Linked DNA regions of Drosophila melanogaster. Changing the gene in region 1 together with any one later gene gives a genetic interaction. Each region holds a gene or a part of one and is shown on either strand. Other genes may lie near its edges.

The links. Genes that interact genetically often act in the same process or in processes that back each other up.
Region 2: of pros (region 1) and dpn, changing one suppresses a phenotype caused by changing the other (phenotypic suppression), as found in Drosophila melanogaster (one study listed by BioGRID).

Annotation. Positions count from the first base shown.
Region 1 is NT_033777.3:11,325,774-11,332,857, forward strand, and holds the start of pros (prospero), read left to right. Parts: upstream 1-2,706; 5' UTR 2,707-4,183; intron 4,184-7,084. UniProt on the Drosophila melanogaster protein: Homeodomain protein that controls neuronal identity. As a transcriptional factor, regulates the expression of ftz, eve and en in a subset of neuroblast progeny and modulates the transcriptional activity of other homeodomain proteins such as Dfd.
Region 2 is NT_033778.4:8,227,747-8,235,696, reverse strand, and holds dpn (deadpan), read left to right. Parts: upstream 1-3,366; 5' UTR 3,367-3,648; coding exon 3,649-3,774; intron 3,775-4,002; coding exon 4,003-4,098; intron 4,099-4,108; exon of another isoform or gene 4,109-4,593; intron 4,594-4,631; exon of another isoform or gene 4,632-5,194; coding exon 5,195-6,280; 3' UTR 6,281-6,726; downstream 6,727-7,950. Other genes in the region: CG34217 (uncharacterized protein), read left to right, coding at 7,082-7,498. UniProt on the Drosophila melanogaster protein: Transcriptional repressor of genes that require a bHLH protein for their transcription.

The DNA of each region.
Region 1 (7,084 bases):
CAATGGAAGGCGAGCGCATAATTGATGCTTTTCGGGCCGCGACCAGCTTTGCACGTCCATTAATTTGCTATCGAATTGCTCTCAACTAATTGAACGGCAGCATAATGCGAATTTAATGAAGATCGCAGTTGGTTTAGAAGTGGAAAGGGGGGATGGGGGGTAAGCTGATGACTGATTAGAAACCAGATAGTAACAATTTGATACAACAATTGTTTATGTTGGCAGGCTTATGTAATCATTCAAAAATGGGATGTGAATATTGTATGTTTAAATAAACCAATGTTGATGCATTCGATATGCTCATATGAACCTCAAAAAAGTATATATGCTTAATTAAAACCCATGCTGAGCGAAATACTTTTTCAGATCATATATATATCTGGTTATATGGATATGTTCTTTGCTGCATTAAAAGCGTAATTTTAAGTAGCAAGCCAAGCGAGCAATGCCTTAAGGGAATGCATATAATTTGATGTAACTTGCATATGTAGATCAGTTATTTAAATCGGTTGAAATCGAAATGCCCTAGGAATTCCAGGTCTATTCGACTTTTAATATGATTTCTGCGCATAGTCATCAGCTGCCTGCTGCGGTCCGCGAGCTCATTAATTAATGATGACAGGATGGACAGGACTGATGGCTCGTTGGGCAGGGAGTTGGAAACCGCAGCTGGTGGCAGTGGGCCTACTGCACGCCACCACCTTTGTATTTGTGCATAACAACTTATGAATCCATAAGCTATCTGGCAATCTCTTTATGAGCAGCATTCCCAATTTCTCTCTGATATCCTGCGAAGGCCAACCAAACCATACCGAACCATAGCAAACCAAACCAAAACCATATCGAGCCCGAAGCAAAAGCAGAACGGGCACAGTGGCAAAGTCAATAGCCAATGCCATCGATAAAGCCATAAACTTCATGTACTGGGTGGAGATTGTGGGTGCTGCTGTTCCTATCCGGCCTAAACTGCGCCATCCCAGACCTGTGCCCGCGTTCTATCCATTTCCGGGAATACGCGGCGTATGAGTAACGAGCGCGATGCGTAGGATTAAATGCAGGCGCTGCCTAGTTCCGATCTGTGCCTCCTCGTCTATATATCACTGATATACATATATATAATATATATATACATATATATATGTACATATATATGGACACATATATCTCTGAGCACGTACATAGAGAATTGCAGTGGCTGTCGCTGCACTCGCCCACCAATTTTTCTCCGCTTTTTTGATGCGCTTTCCCAGAACCCCCATGTGCATGAGTTAGTAGGAATTTATGCTGGCTCTATTATTGTTGCTCTTGTTGTCGCGGATCCTTTTTGGCGGGGTATGAGTGCGGACGACGCTCTACATTTTTTTCAGCTGCAGTTTTCTTTGCTGGATATTTTAATGCCAACTCTGACGATATACCAATACCAGTGCCAATAACCAACACCCATAAATGGCGGCAAAATAAAATAGGAAAAAAATGTGTGTTGCATTCGCGCAGGGGCAACATAGAAAACTTTTACGTTTCGCTTAGGGTTTTGCTTTATTTTTTGCTTTCAGGTTTCCCTCTTCTTTTTTTGCGATTTTCATTTTGTTGCTTTGGCATTGCAAATGAAAACGAAAAAATTGCATTTTCCCCGCATATGGATGTGTGTGAGAAGCACGAAATCAAAACAAAACATGGCCACATGGCGGGTCCTGTCGGCTGGTGGGTGTGCGGATGGGATGTATGGATGCATGGACGGATGGGGCACATGAACAGTGCACAGCCAGGAGCAACAGCTCCCACAGCTGCCACACTACCTCCCTGCAGATGTATCTGTATCTGCGAAATGGTATGGTCCATCTGGCGGGAAAAGGGGCTGGGTTTTAGGTACACTTAGGCTCGATAGCTGCAGTTTTTCGCCACCCAGTCAGCGAAACAGACCACCACGCAGTTGCCCAGTCCAAAAACCACCTCATCAGTCGTTTGGGGGTTTGGGTGTTCCATACTTTTTGGCGTTGTTTGATTTTTAGGCGCAGCAAAATGCGTTTTGCTCTTGATTGAAAGTGTGAAGAGTGTGGGGCAGCATGCCAGCGTGTGTGTGTGCGATATGTGCATTGTCCGTGTCCTTCTCGCAGTGTGCATGTATTGGCGAGGACGCCGCTGCCGCTGTCGTCGCGCTTTGTTTTGATTTTTCGCGACTGAGCGCGCGTTGCTGTCTGTTTCTCTCTGTGTTTTTGGATTTGTCCAGCAATGCATATGTGCGCCCACTGTTCTAGTGGGTGTGTGTGTGTGTTTGTGGTTGTGTGCGAGGTTTGCATGTATATGTACACTAGCAGCTAGGAGCGGCGCTGACGTCGCAGTCGCAGCAATTTTTTGCGCCAAAGCCAAACCAAAAAGGACGAGGACAATTCGGTTGGCGCTGCAGCTGCGACGTAGCCGCGGAATTTTTTTGCGCGTTTCGCGCCCGGCCAGCGGCCACTTTCATCCGTATCCACGTATCCAAGTATCCACATCCGCATCATCCTACTCCATCAGCGTTAGCATCAGCGGCCGAGGGGCTGGCGTCCCTCATAATCAACGCGCTGCAGCGACGACGCCATCGACATCGACAGCGGCTCTGGCTTTGGCTTTGGCTCTGTGACTCTGGGGCCCGTCATCGTTAGCAATTTTTGCCAGGACATTGCAACAGAAAACTGCTAAACGCGAAACAAGTTGCGGCGCTTTTTTCTGCTCCTCGGGTTCTCGCTGTCTCCCTGTCCTGGCCTGTCCTGAATCGAACTGAGCCGTGCTGCCAGGATCAGGCAGCAGCAGGCAGCAGACAGCAGGCAAGGCACATCAGTAGGCAGTGCAAGGCAGGCAGGCAGGCAGTCGGCAGGCAGGTCGCCACTTCTCGCAGACTTCTTCGCATCTGCATAAATCAAACCCAGAGGCAGTAGCAGAAGCAGTTAGCCACCCCAAGAAAAAACTCTACAACAGAAAAATACCGAAAAACAAAAGAAAAACAAACAAACAAATAGAAATAGAAAAGAGAGACATCGAAGCAGAGAAACGATAGGAGAACGAAAAAAAGTGCCAAGTGAATGTGAAAGTGAAAGTGTGTGCAAAATGACTTGAAGTGCAAGACTAGACACCTATGTACGTACCACCTACACCACCCAGCCTGGAACACACTACGTATACGCAATGCGGCCCAGGCGCTCATACGCCCCGTTGGCCCGCCAGCCCTTCGAACTAAGACTCGGGCTGGGGCTCGAACAGCCATCGCTCGCCATGCCGTCTTGAGTGCAAAAAATTACCCGCCAAAAACCCAAAAACACACACGGCCGGCTTGCGCCAAAGACAATGTAAGCGCCGGCACTAGAATGTAGAGCAGTTTTTTCTTCATTTCCCAAAACTAACTAACAAAACCAGCCAGCCAACAACAAATAACAAAATAGACAAAGTTACATTTTTACCAATATCGATAATATTAATCACTTGATAATCAGCGCCAGTCAAACGCAACATTTCGTTCGTAAACAACAACTACAACTAGCCACAACAAAGCAAGTCAAAGCCAAGAAGCAACCAAATAAGCAGGCAATACCAGTCAGTCCGTAACGTCAGCAGCAGAAACCAACGAAAAACCAAAATAATAAAGTAAAACGATTGAGTAACTCCAGTTTCAGTACCGCACCGATTCCGATTTGAGCAAAAATTCAAGCGTCTGAATTTGATTTCGATATCGTCTGGCCCGTTCCGTCTTCAAGTCTCGGCCAAAGGTTCGTCATCGTCCCGACACACTCTCAGTTTCTACAAATTCAGACGTAGATCCTTAGTTAATTCACCTTTTGTATTGTGCATTTCGGCAAGCAAATATTTTGGAAAGGATCCCCAGAGAACAAAAAAAAAAAAAGGCGAAGAAGAGCAGAAGTCAACACTCGAAATCGAAAACTACGAAATTACCTGAAAATTTTTAAACAACCAAAAAGTCTATGAATGCAACAAAAATTACACGCTAAATTTTACAAGTGCAAAATTTTCTTATAATAATTTATCAAAAAAATAAAAATAAATTTACAAAAAAAAAAAAAATTAAAAAAGAAGCATAAAAAAACGGAACTTAGTGAGAAAATTAATCAAAGTTTAGAGAGAACATTAAATGCAAACGGAATATCAAAAATTGTTGTGATGTGATATTTTTTCGATGTACTTTTATTTGAGGGTAAGTAAAGATCACTATCAAAAATTCATTTTTCAACCATTACTCCATTCTTTTCATCAATCATTGACTCATTGGGGTTTATTTATCTTTTCAGAATTATAGAATTTAGATAGAGAAATAAGGGAAATAAATACATTCGAAGCGTATATTTTAAGATCTAGGTAATTTAAAGATGTTCTGATTAAGAAAAGTATCTATTATGGGATGCTTGATCATAAGAAAATGATTAACAGTGAGCATTTAACTACTGATCATTTTTGGAAGAGAACGAGAAGAGAACGACATTTAAGACAAATAGTAAATGGATAATATGAGTGTGAAACATTGAGCAGTATTGATTTTCATTAGAAAAATTAGGAAAAGGTTCATTCTTTAATTATAATGTTATCATCTAAGTTAAAATCAATTCAAAGATATACTCTTTTTAAGGCACAAAATCTATTTCACCAACGAAAGAAAGCAGGGCAGTCAAATTTTAGTAACTTAGCTAAACAGCATGTTTATTTCAAAGCGCCAAAATAATAACCATATTAATTGCTACAAGTAAATATTTAAGAGGAAATGTCTCCTTTGGAGTTCCTTAGTTCAGTGGGTCTGAAGATCGCAGAAGTCTTTCTCCGCGATTGAGCTCGGCACTTCCTCCCAAAGTTCTTCGTGTCCTGTCGTCGGGTGACGGCGTTCAGCTGCAGCAGCAACATGCAACAGCATCGTGTTGCTGGTGTGCACGCGGCTCTCCCCAGCAGCAGCAGGTTTAGTTGTAGTTGTAGACTTTTTGCTTTTCTACATCCTCACACACATACAGGCACACAAACGCACACAGCAACAAACACGAGTGCAAGACGCGAAGTTTTGGAGGCATGCACATAATGTAAACAAGGACATGCGCAATGCACCGCGCTGGCTTTCCCCGCTTCCACAACAGGAGAAGTGCATTGCAGGCAATGCAATTGCCAACTAGAAGATAGCAGCAGCCAAAGGGGCAGTGGGTGGCTGGGCAGGATTTTGGTCGCTTTTGGGGGGGGGGGGGGTGTGGTATTGGCGATGGGGTGTTGCTGGGTGGCTGCTTCATTTACCAACGGCTGCACTAGTAAATAGCAGATGGCAGCGAAGTCGGCGTCGGCATCGCTGTCGACGCCAACTTGCCACAGTTTAGATGGGAAAAAAGGAAAACTCCAAAGAGCCAGAGAGAAAGACAGAGTGAGGGAGAGAGAGCGAGCGAGAGTGGGTGAGAAAGAGAGAGCGAGGGCTGCGCAACGAGAGTGGCGAGTGCAGCCGAAAGGATGCAATGCTGCAAGGCAATTGCACTCCAGGACTCTCACACACACACTTACGCACACAAACGCATCCGCAAGCAGCTAGACTGAGGCGGTTGCTTCTTTTTTGGTTGTGTTGTCTCTTTTCGGCTTATTTTTAGAAGTCCTTTGCCCCCTCGCCGGCGCACATCCCACCCCAGCCCCCTTGGCTGCATTTTATTTACTTGACCAGGCCTCGGAAATTTACATGGCCAGCCGTGGGAGGGGGTTGCAGTATCCACAGCAGTAGCAGCAGCTGTTCCTGGAGCCCCAGCACGTGCAGCAAGCAACTGCCCTTCAGCCGCCCAGCCGCCCAGCCACCCAGCCACCCAGCTGCCTGCGTGATTTGTGCGTTGCCAGGATGCTGATGCTGATGATGATGGCGATGGCGATGATGAGGCATCTCGTAATGATCTGGGGCCGGGAAAAAAGGGAGCAGGAGGCGGTGGTGCAGCTGCATTTCCTTGCCAGCAACGCCGTGCGTGGTTGGTCGGCTCGAAAAAGGGTCGGCGGCACTGATGGGGGTTGGGCTGTGATGGGCTGGCTGGATGGATCGAAGTGTGGGCGCGTAGACATTGCGTAGAGTTGGAGCCAATTTTTTTCTATTTCTTGATGGGCAACCTGGTCCGACCGCCTACATCACCCATTCCACCGCCCCCTTTTTGGACCGCGCTTCATTCGCACATCGAGTGGTCAAAGTACATAGATACCCCATGCCCATGTGTCATGTGTGTGTGTGTGTGCTTTTTGCGCGCGCGAACTTTGGCCAAAGGAAAAAAACTTAAACAGAGATGCTTTTACATACGGAGGGGGGGTTTTTTCGGATGGCTCGCTGCATTTTGCGCGTCTGTAGCTTTTTTTGGCGGCCGTCGATGATGGGGTGCGAAGGGTTGGGGCGCGTGGTGTGTTCCCCGGCCTGGTGGAGGCCATGTACGCGTCGTCGTTTGCTAAAGTCCGTGTCCGTGTCGCGATGACGGAACGCCGAACGAACTGAACGCAACGCAACGCAACGCATCGCATCGCATCTATCGGCATCGGAAGGCATCGGCCGGGCACCGCAGTTGGCATACGGCTTTTGGACGTCTTTTGAGTAGAACATTGCTTTTTTATATTCTCGGCTCGACGCACCGCACCGAGCAAAAGAAGTAACGCCAACGCCGCGTAACGATAGCTGCCGCTCCAGCGAGGAGCCGCAGAGTTGGTCCAAGTCGTCGACGGTTCGGTTCAGTTTCGGACTTGCTTATTTTCTAAAAAATCCAGCAACCAGCAACTAGCACACACACACGCCGTCGAGTGGAGTGGCGTGGAGTGAGGCCGCATTATTATATATAAAATATATATATTGCATATATATATACGGTATAGAATATAGATATATATATATAAATGGGTGCAAAGTGCGCGCGCGTTTGCCGCCCCCAAGTCAACCGCCCATGCCTCTCAATCCGCTGAGGGGCTGAGGTTCAGTTGCAGTTCGAGTGCCGTCAAATACTATTTATATACAATAAATGAAATAAAATATATACAAATATATATAAATATATATATATATATGTCTAAAAATATATGTATCCGGTCGCGAGTATCCTTTCGTGTGCGTTCGTGTGTG
Region 2 (7,950 bases), on another chromosome or scaffold:
AAGTCCATTGTTCTCGTGGCTCGAAGAAGTGGCGGGGGATGCAGCCGGGAGAATGGAGTCGGCAGCTGTGCCAATTCTTGGCACGAGAGCAAGGACAGTTTAGTGCAAATGTTGGCTTAGGAGCAGCTGATCCACCAAGTGACCGTTACATCAGCTGGCATGGGTCACCAATCAATGGAATCAATGATATGGATTCGACCCAGCCCATCATGTGTGCTAGTTATTTAGGGTACGCCCAATAAATGTGAAAGTGTTCCTGAAGTCCAATAGCATATGGAATAGATATCAGCTTAAAACGTTCCATTAGATTTAAAAAAAACTTCTGACAATAACATGAAAATTGTAATTGAAGCTCTAAAAAGAAATATCAGCTCCCTATACCCAATAACATTCCAATATGTCTGGCTTTTCCGTTTGTCAACAAACCTTAATTTTCTCATAAGGACAAAAGTTTTAAATATTTAAGTTAGATTGTGCACCCAAATATATATAGCTAAAGGCGATAAAAAAAGCCAAATGTGTGACGAATCCCCTCAGCATATAAATTATTGCATCTTTTGTTTTTTTTGGGTGAAAACACTTTTCCCCCTTTTTGGAGTCTGTCAGAAAGAACTTTCCAGTTATTAGCCCGACTCCTGGCTGGCCATTTATCAAATTCATAAAAATGAAATCTCCCACAGCAGGAAGAAAAACAATCAAATAGTTGGGCGGCCCGTCACGACTTCTAATGCCCCGCAGACCGCACACTTCACTCAGGTTTCCCCTCGTCGCTAAGCGCCATAAAAATCAACAAGGAATTCATTTAAATCAACATATATCTTGGCCAAAGGAGGAGTTCTTCTCCTGCCCCCGCATCCGTAATCCACTTGGGTTTAGTTCCGTTTGGATCAGTTCACACATTTGCTACCGTTTCATATTTTTCATGCTCATTATTTCTGGTGCATATCTATGTATGTGTATGAATGAGAGGTACGGGGGAGTTGCAGCTAGCACACCCCAAGTAATAACTGCAGTTCCCACAGCTAAAAATACATACCCCCAAAGTCACTAATTTGAGGTTGAGAAAGGTCTCCATCTCCGTCTTAGTCTGCCGGTGCCCTCAGAATTGATTAAAAAAGAGGGAAGTAGATCGTCACTGGTCGACAGATCGAAGCTCCCAACCGACCGGGTGTACAATAAAAATTAAAGTGTTTTAATGTGTAAATCGTGCGTTGGAAACGACGCACCGAGGATCCGAGCCCGGGAAGCCCCAAAAAGGAGGACTGACAGATACAGATACAAGCCTGGCTACCGATCGTCAGCGATCGTGCCACACTAAATGGCGTTTACCTTGATCCCTGGGCCGGGAATAAGAAAAAAAAGGAAAGAAAGAAAGAGGAGAAGCCACAGCAGCAGCGGCGTTTGGGGCTGATATTGAACTTTGATTTCTGACTGGTTTCTTCGTTATAGAATTTCAATTCTCAGTTTCTGAAGAAGCTCTGCAGACTCTGCACGTTTCGCCAGACGATTGATCCACATATGTCGGATGGTTCTGAGGTTTCTTCTCCCTGGCCCATGGCACTTTTACATTTTGCCAGCTCATCGTGCTTATTTCGGGTTTCGTGGGAAAATGTTTGCCAAATTTGCGGCGTTCAAAGGAGCCAAAGTGATCGCCATTAAGCAGGGTGATGTGCTCATCAGTGCAGAATTCAGCCGAACCCCATGGTTTAGTTGCTGTGGATGTTTTAGTTGGTCAATCGTAGCCGTGGCATTTATTCAATTTACGAAAGTTGACATCGGATCAGTGCTGCAGAGCTTGTGCATGATGGATGATCGCCACAGATTATTGCTCAACACGGGATTTACGCTCAGGCCGCGAGGGATCACTTTGCACAACCAGGGTTGCCAGGCGGCGCAATACGTTTACGATCCCACCCAAAACTCCCCAAATCGGTCCATAGGTAGATCTACGTCAGCTGTCAGCTGGCGCATGGCCCGCGTCAGTGGTTATTGACAACTCCTTTGGTCGTAATCCTGCCAACATCGTAAAGTAATAAATTTGCCTGAAAAAGGAAAATCTGCCGGGGATCGACTATAAAAATTGGCCCAGCCAGGTAAGCTCCGTAATGATTGACCCCGACCCTCAGTCCCAGACCCACGACCGATCCAGGTCCGATTCCGATCCATTGCAAGTCGCGATTCCGTCCCGAAACCCAAGCAACCCCCTAAGACGCTTCTGCCGATGAGCCGACCAGGCAAAAGCGAAGAATTTGAAACTAAGGATTTCGCCTTGCAAGGGGGTTGGGTTGTCACGGGGGTTGCGGCAGCTGCGCCGAACAATTGCCAAGGAGTTCTCCTTAATGAATTGCAAATCATTCGCCGGGCATTGATCAAGTTTGTCCTTGCCAAGGGTGAAATCTGTGCGACTAAATGTGCCATCAGCCAGCCACCCAAAAGGGAAACGGACACAAACGGAACATCTGTCGCAAATAATGCTACTCACTGATAACTTATAGAAAATCTCACTTGATACATTTTTTAAGGAACTAAAGATTTTTTGCTTTGCTTTAGCAAATTTCAAGTACTAAAGAAGAATCGCTGTTAATTCTCTGAATATAGTTCATATTTTTGTTAACTATTGCTTTAATCAATTCATTAAAAGTAATAAGCAAGTAAAAAGTAAAAAAAAGTAAAGTAATAATATTCATAAGATTTATAGTAGCTTTGTATAATTATTGCTAAATATATGAATATTCTAAAACAAATAGATTGGGTATTAAGTCGGCTTCGACACGAATTAGAAGATTAAATTCAGTTATAAATTTTTGTTAAATTGTAATAAACTTTAAATTCATTAATGATATGTTATTGATTTTAATGCTTAATTTCCTTCAAAATTATTTAATATACAATGCTTGCTGTATTTTACAATAAAATCAACTAAATTTTGTGGGTTTCGTCAAGCCAAAGGCTAATGACTTGGCTTAACCGAATGTTGTGTTGTTTCTCGATCAGGCTCGACTTAGTCTCGTTTACTTGAGTTAAGCTCCTATTTTCACTAATCCCCTGGAATCCGCAATTCGTTGACTCGGCAACTCTGCCTGCCTGGGAATACCTACTCAAATACTCACTTAAATCTCACTCCGAGTGTGAACTCATTGGATTTGGGGTGGTTATGCACTCACTCACTCTCCGATTGAGCGCAACTGCGCTGCTGCGGTGAAAAGTTCTCAGTCTGCGGACGGCGATCGTTGGGCTGCCTACCTGCCTCAGCTCTGCCTCTGCCGCTGCCCGCGTCGCCAGGTAAGAGAGTCCCTCGGTTTCACTCGTGGACTCGTTTCGGCTTCGACCCGATTCGTTTTTAGCTGGTGCCCGTGGACTCGGAGGATCAGTATCCTTTTGGCATCTCGCGAGCGCGGTCGTCTGCCGCTCTCCTTTGAATGAACATTTAAAATACTATTCTATACGATTCGATAACCAGAACGATCTTTAACGCGTACCGCTTGTTAAGTTTTTGTTGTTCGGACATTACTAAGAAGTACGTGCAATAATTGTTATAACTATTTTCGTACTCGAACCAAAGTTATTGTGTTGTGAAAAAGACCAAATCGAAATCGAACTATCTTGGATTATCTCCCACTTGGATATACAAATTAAAATCGTTACAAAATGGATTACAAAAACGATATTAATTCCGACGACGATTTCGACTGCTCCAACGGCTATAGCGACAGCTATGGCTCCAATGGACGCATGTCCAATCCCAATGGATTGTCAAAAGCAGAACTTAGAAAGGTGAGTTCGCTCTTTTGCGATGAAATTGGACTCGCAAACTAAAAAATAGCAGAGTTTATTAGCACCCTCGATCGTTTTGAACCTTTTCATTTTAATGGCTTAGAAAATGTAAAGCATTAAATTAATTTTAAAAATCAAGTGAAACCCTTGTTTTATATAAACAAAGATATCCCTTAAACTGAAATAAATTCCTACGAAATAAACTAATTGATTCCCTTTCTTTTCTAGACCAACAAACCGATTATGGAGAAACGTCGCCGAGCTCGCATTAATCACTGCCTCAACGAACTGAAGTCCCTTATCCTGGAGGCGATGAAAAAAGACGTAAGTATCTTGCCCGAGCGTCAAAGCAGAAAAGGAGCGGTCCGCCCGCGAATTAGAAACTAGCCCCCGATCCCTTTTGGTTCACTTTCTTATAAATAATGTTAGTCCACAAAAAAAAACCTTTAAGGCACAAGTGTCCGAAGGGCGGCAGAACTACAAAAGAACAAAAAAATGTATAAAAAACGAACTCCTACGACACAAGAACTGAAAAAAAAAACACAAACCAAGGGCTCTAATTGAGTATTAAATTTTATTGATGATCATTACACTAGAGCGCCGACGAGGAGTCAGTCAAGAGACCAAAAAGTGTTAACAAGTCGAGGAATTACGCAGAAATCGCCGGAGATGCGAACGAAACCAGTTTCCAAGGAGTGATCCTGCTGTGAGAAACTACAAAGCAGAAATCAAGTAAAATTTGCCGCCGCAGAATTCTGCAGGAGAGCCGGACCAAAAATCAAATAAGAAAGACATTGAGGGAAAAAAGCAAAAGTAAACAAAAGGTTCAGACAGGGGAGCGGGGGAGGTTGAGGGGGCGGGGCTGGCGAGCGACCTGCGTGGGAACCTTTTGCTAAAATATGCAGTCCCAGCGGCGAGAAAGGGACGAACAATCGGGGACCGAAGACTGGCGAAGATCGCACTGCGCGAAAAAAGAAGATCAGGAAGAACGATTTGGAATCTTCTGTGCCCAAAAAGTCTTCATATGAGATCACAAACGATAAGATCGGCGAGTAGTTTATTTTAGAACCACTTACTAAAGACAGTCACTTTTCCATCATTAGTATTCACTTGCCAGAAAATTTGACTTTAAGCCCCCTTTTTGCTCAGTGCACAGTAGCAAGATCAGTCGTTCTTCTCGCTGGAGTTGCTGAATCTCACCTTGGTCGTGTGATATTTACAGAGTGGACTCGACTGAAGTGGACTGCAGATTACACGCGAATAGTTGGACATATGAGGCACGAAACGTGCTTCTTAACTTCGCTTTTTCCCAAGCTATTGAACTTGTTGTAGGGCCCCAAACAATTAGCCCGACCATCTCCCACCCCATCCCCATTTCATCATTATCTGACTTTGGTTCCTTCGTCTTCTATACTTTTAGCCGGCTCGTCATACCAAACTGGAGAAGGCCGACATACTTGAGATGACGGTGAAGCATCTGCAGTCGGTGCAGCGCCAGCAGCTCAACATGGCCATCCAATCGGATCCCAGCGTTGTCCAGAAGTTCAAGACGGGATTCGTTGAGTGCGCGGAGGAGGTGAACCGCTATGTAAGCCAAATGGATGGCATCGATACCGGTGTTCGTCAGCGGCTCAGCGCCCATCTTAACCAGTGTGCCAATAGTCTGGAGCAGATCGGTTCGATGAGCAACTTCAGCAATGGATACCGTGGTGGCTTGTTTCCCGCCACAGCTGTCACGGCTGCTCCCACTCCGCTGTTTCCCTCGTTGCCGCAGGACTTGAACAACAACAGCCGCACGGAGTCATCGGCTCCGGCCATCCAAATGGGTGGACTTCAGCTAATTCCCTCCCGCCTGCCCTCGGGAGAGTTTGCCCTCATCATGCCGAACACAGGTTCCGCTGCTCCGCCTCCGGGACCCTTTGCCTGGCCAGGATCTGCAGCGGGAGTCGCAGCTGGAACAGCCAGTGCCGCCTTGGCCAGCATTGCCAATCCCACACATCTAAATGACTATACACAGAGCTTCAGGATGAGCGCGTTCAGCAAACCGGTCAATACCTCAGTTCCGGCCAATCTTCCGGAAAACCTCATCCACACACTGCCCGGCCAAACGCAGCTGCCGGTGAAGAACAGCACAAGCCCACCGCTGAGCCCAATCTCCTCCATCTCCAGCCACTGCGAGGAGTCCCGGGCTGCCTCGCCCACCGTGGATGTGATGAGCAAGCACAGTTTCGCCGGCGTCTTCTCAACTCCGCCACCAACCAGCGCGGAGACCTCCTTCAACACCAGCGGATCCCTCAACTTGAGTGCCGGAAGCCACGACAGCAGCGGATGCTCGCGACCGCTGGCCCACTTGCAGCAACAGCAAGTGAGCTCCACCAGCGGAATCGCCAAGCGCGACAGGGAGGCGGAGGCCGAGTCCAGCGACTGCTCCCTGGACGAGCCCTCGTCCAAGAAATTCCTAGCTGGCGCCATCGAAAAGTCGAGCTCCGCTTGGAGGCCGTGGTAGATCAACCGCACAGGCCACTTCTATGTTACGTTTATACATTGTTAATTTATTTCATTGCAATTTTTTCAAAGATCACTTCAATGCTTTAGAACCCCATTAAGTTTCAACGATTTCTATATGTTTTTATGTATCCCCGTTTCGCTTTCTTCATTTTAAGTTCAGCTGTGATTTTGTATATTTTTTGTGTAGTTCTCGTTTAAGCGCTTTATACGACTATTATGTAGTTCATTAAATAATTATGTTCTTTAATGTTTCATTAACTGCTCAAGTATTTAAACAATTAAACGTGTTTCTATTTAAGTTATGTAGTTTTCATTGTATAGCGTTTATCATTAGGTCATTCACGTTTCTATATTAGTGTTTTAATTTAACGATTGTAATTTTAACTTTTAGGTAATGCAAAATTCGATGGAGTGAAAATAATGATAATAAAAAAAAAATGCTGCAAAAGAAAAATCCATCCAAATTTAATGGTTCCTTGGTTCTTAACTGATTAGAATTGGAAAATTCAAGATCGCATCAACAATCAATAGTACTTGAACTCATTGAAAAGTCGGAAGCTGAATTCAAATCAATACGGAAACAGCCTTATCATGTATGTTCGATGTTTTCGCAAAGTTTGATTGAAAAGATAACTCAATCGAAAGCTCCCAATCCATGCTATATAAGCAATAGGCGGAACACATTTAGTGTGTCAAAAACTAAATTATTGCAATCAAGAGCGCGCAGTGACTTTCAGGCGTGCATTGAAAAATCTCAGAAATTATAAAAACAATTTAATTGAAAAATTTTAATTTTACCATGCCAGGAAATCTGTTTCAAGTGTTACTAACTGTGGCGATCCTGCCAGCTATTAGTTTGGCATCTAGTTCTGAAGATGGTCTGCACCATTACCGTGCTTCTCCAAAGCTCACGGGTCCTGTGAAGCTCCTACACGATCCCGAGGACACCATTCTGAACACCTTGGATGGCGCTCTGGAGAAGATCTCCACCATCTACATGCAGGCCTTGTTCGCTGGTACCCACACCCCGGAACTGGAAGCCCCACTCCGAGCCCTCGAAATCGAGTTGTTCGATCTGCTGGACGAGCTCTATAATCAGAATCGTCTCAAGGACTATATAAAGTACGAGGCGGAAGTGACGCGACAAATGATAATCTACAACATGCTGAAGAGATTGTTTGGCTACACACAGGAAAATGAGGCTGGATCTGTCTGAGCTGTAAATTCTAAATATGTTTTCTAATTATAAGTCCTTCATCAATGCAAAAGTAGACGAAGTGAATTTTAATATACCACACCATACTATATACTATTGTATAATGCCTAAAATTCTTACTCATACAAATATTCAAGGTTTTTATTTTTTACTTTCTTATGTTACTTTGGTATTATCTTCGATATTTCAAAATAAAGTTAAAGTAAAGTAAAATTTTTGATAGTCAAGGAAATCGACTATCAAGTTTTTTTTTGTTATCTGTACGATTTCGGGTGATATTGTGGCAAAAGTATGTCCTATGGCCTTTGTATAAAATGAACAATTTTACAGGATTTTAATAAACTTAAGCCCTAGAAATAGAATGCGTTAATATACATATCTTTTTTATAATAATAATTTATTAATAATGAAATAGCAATAAATAATTATTTTGCTAACCGTTGGTTAGCAAA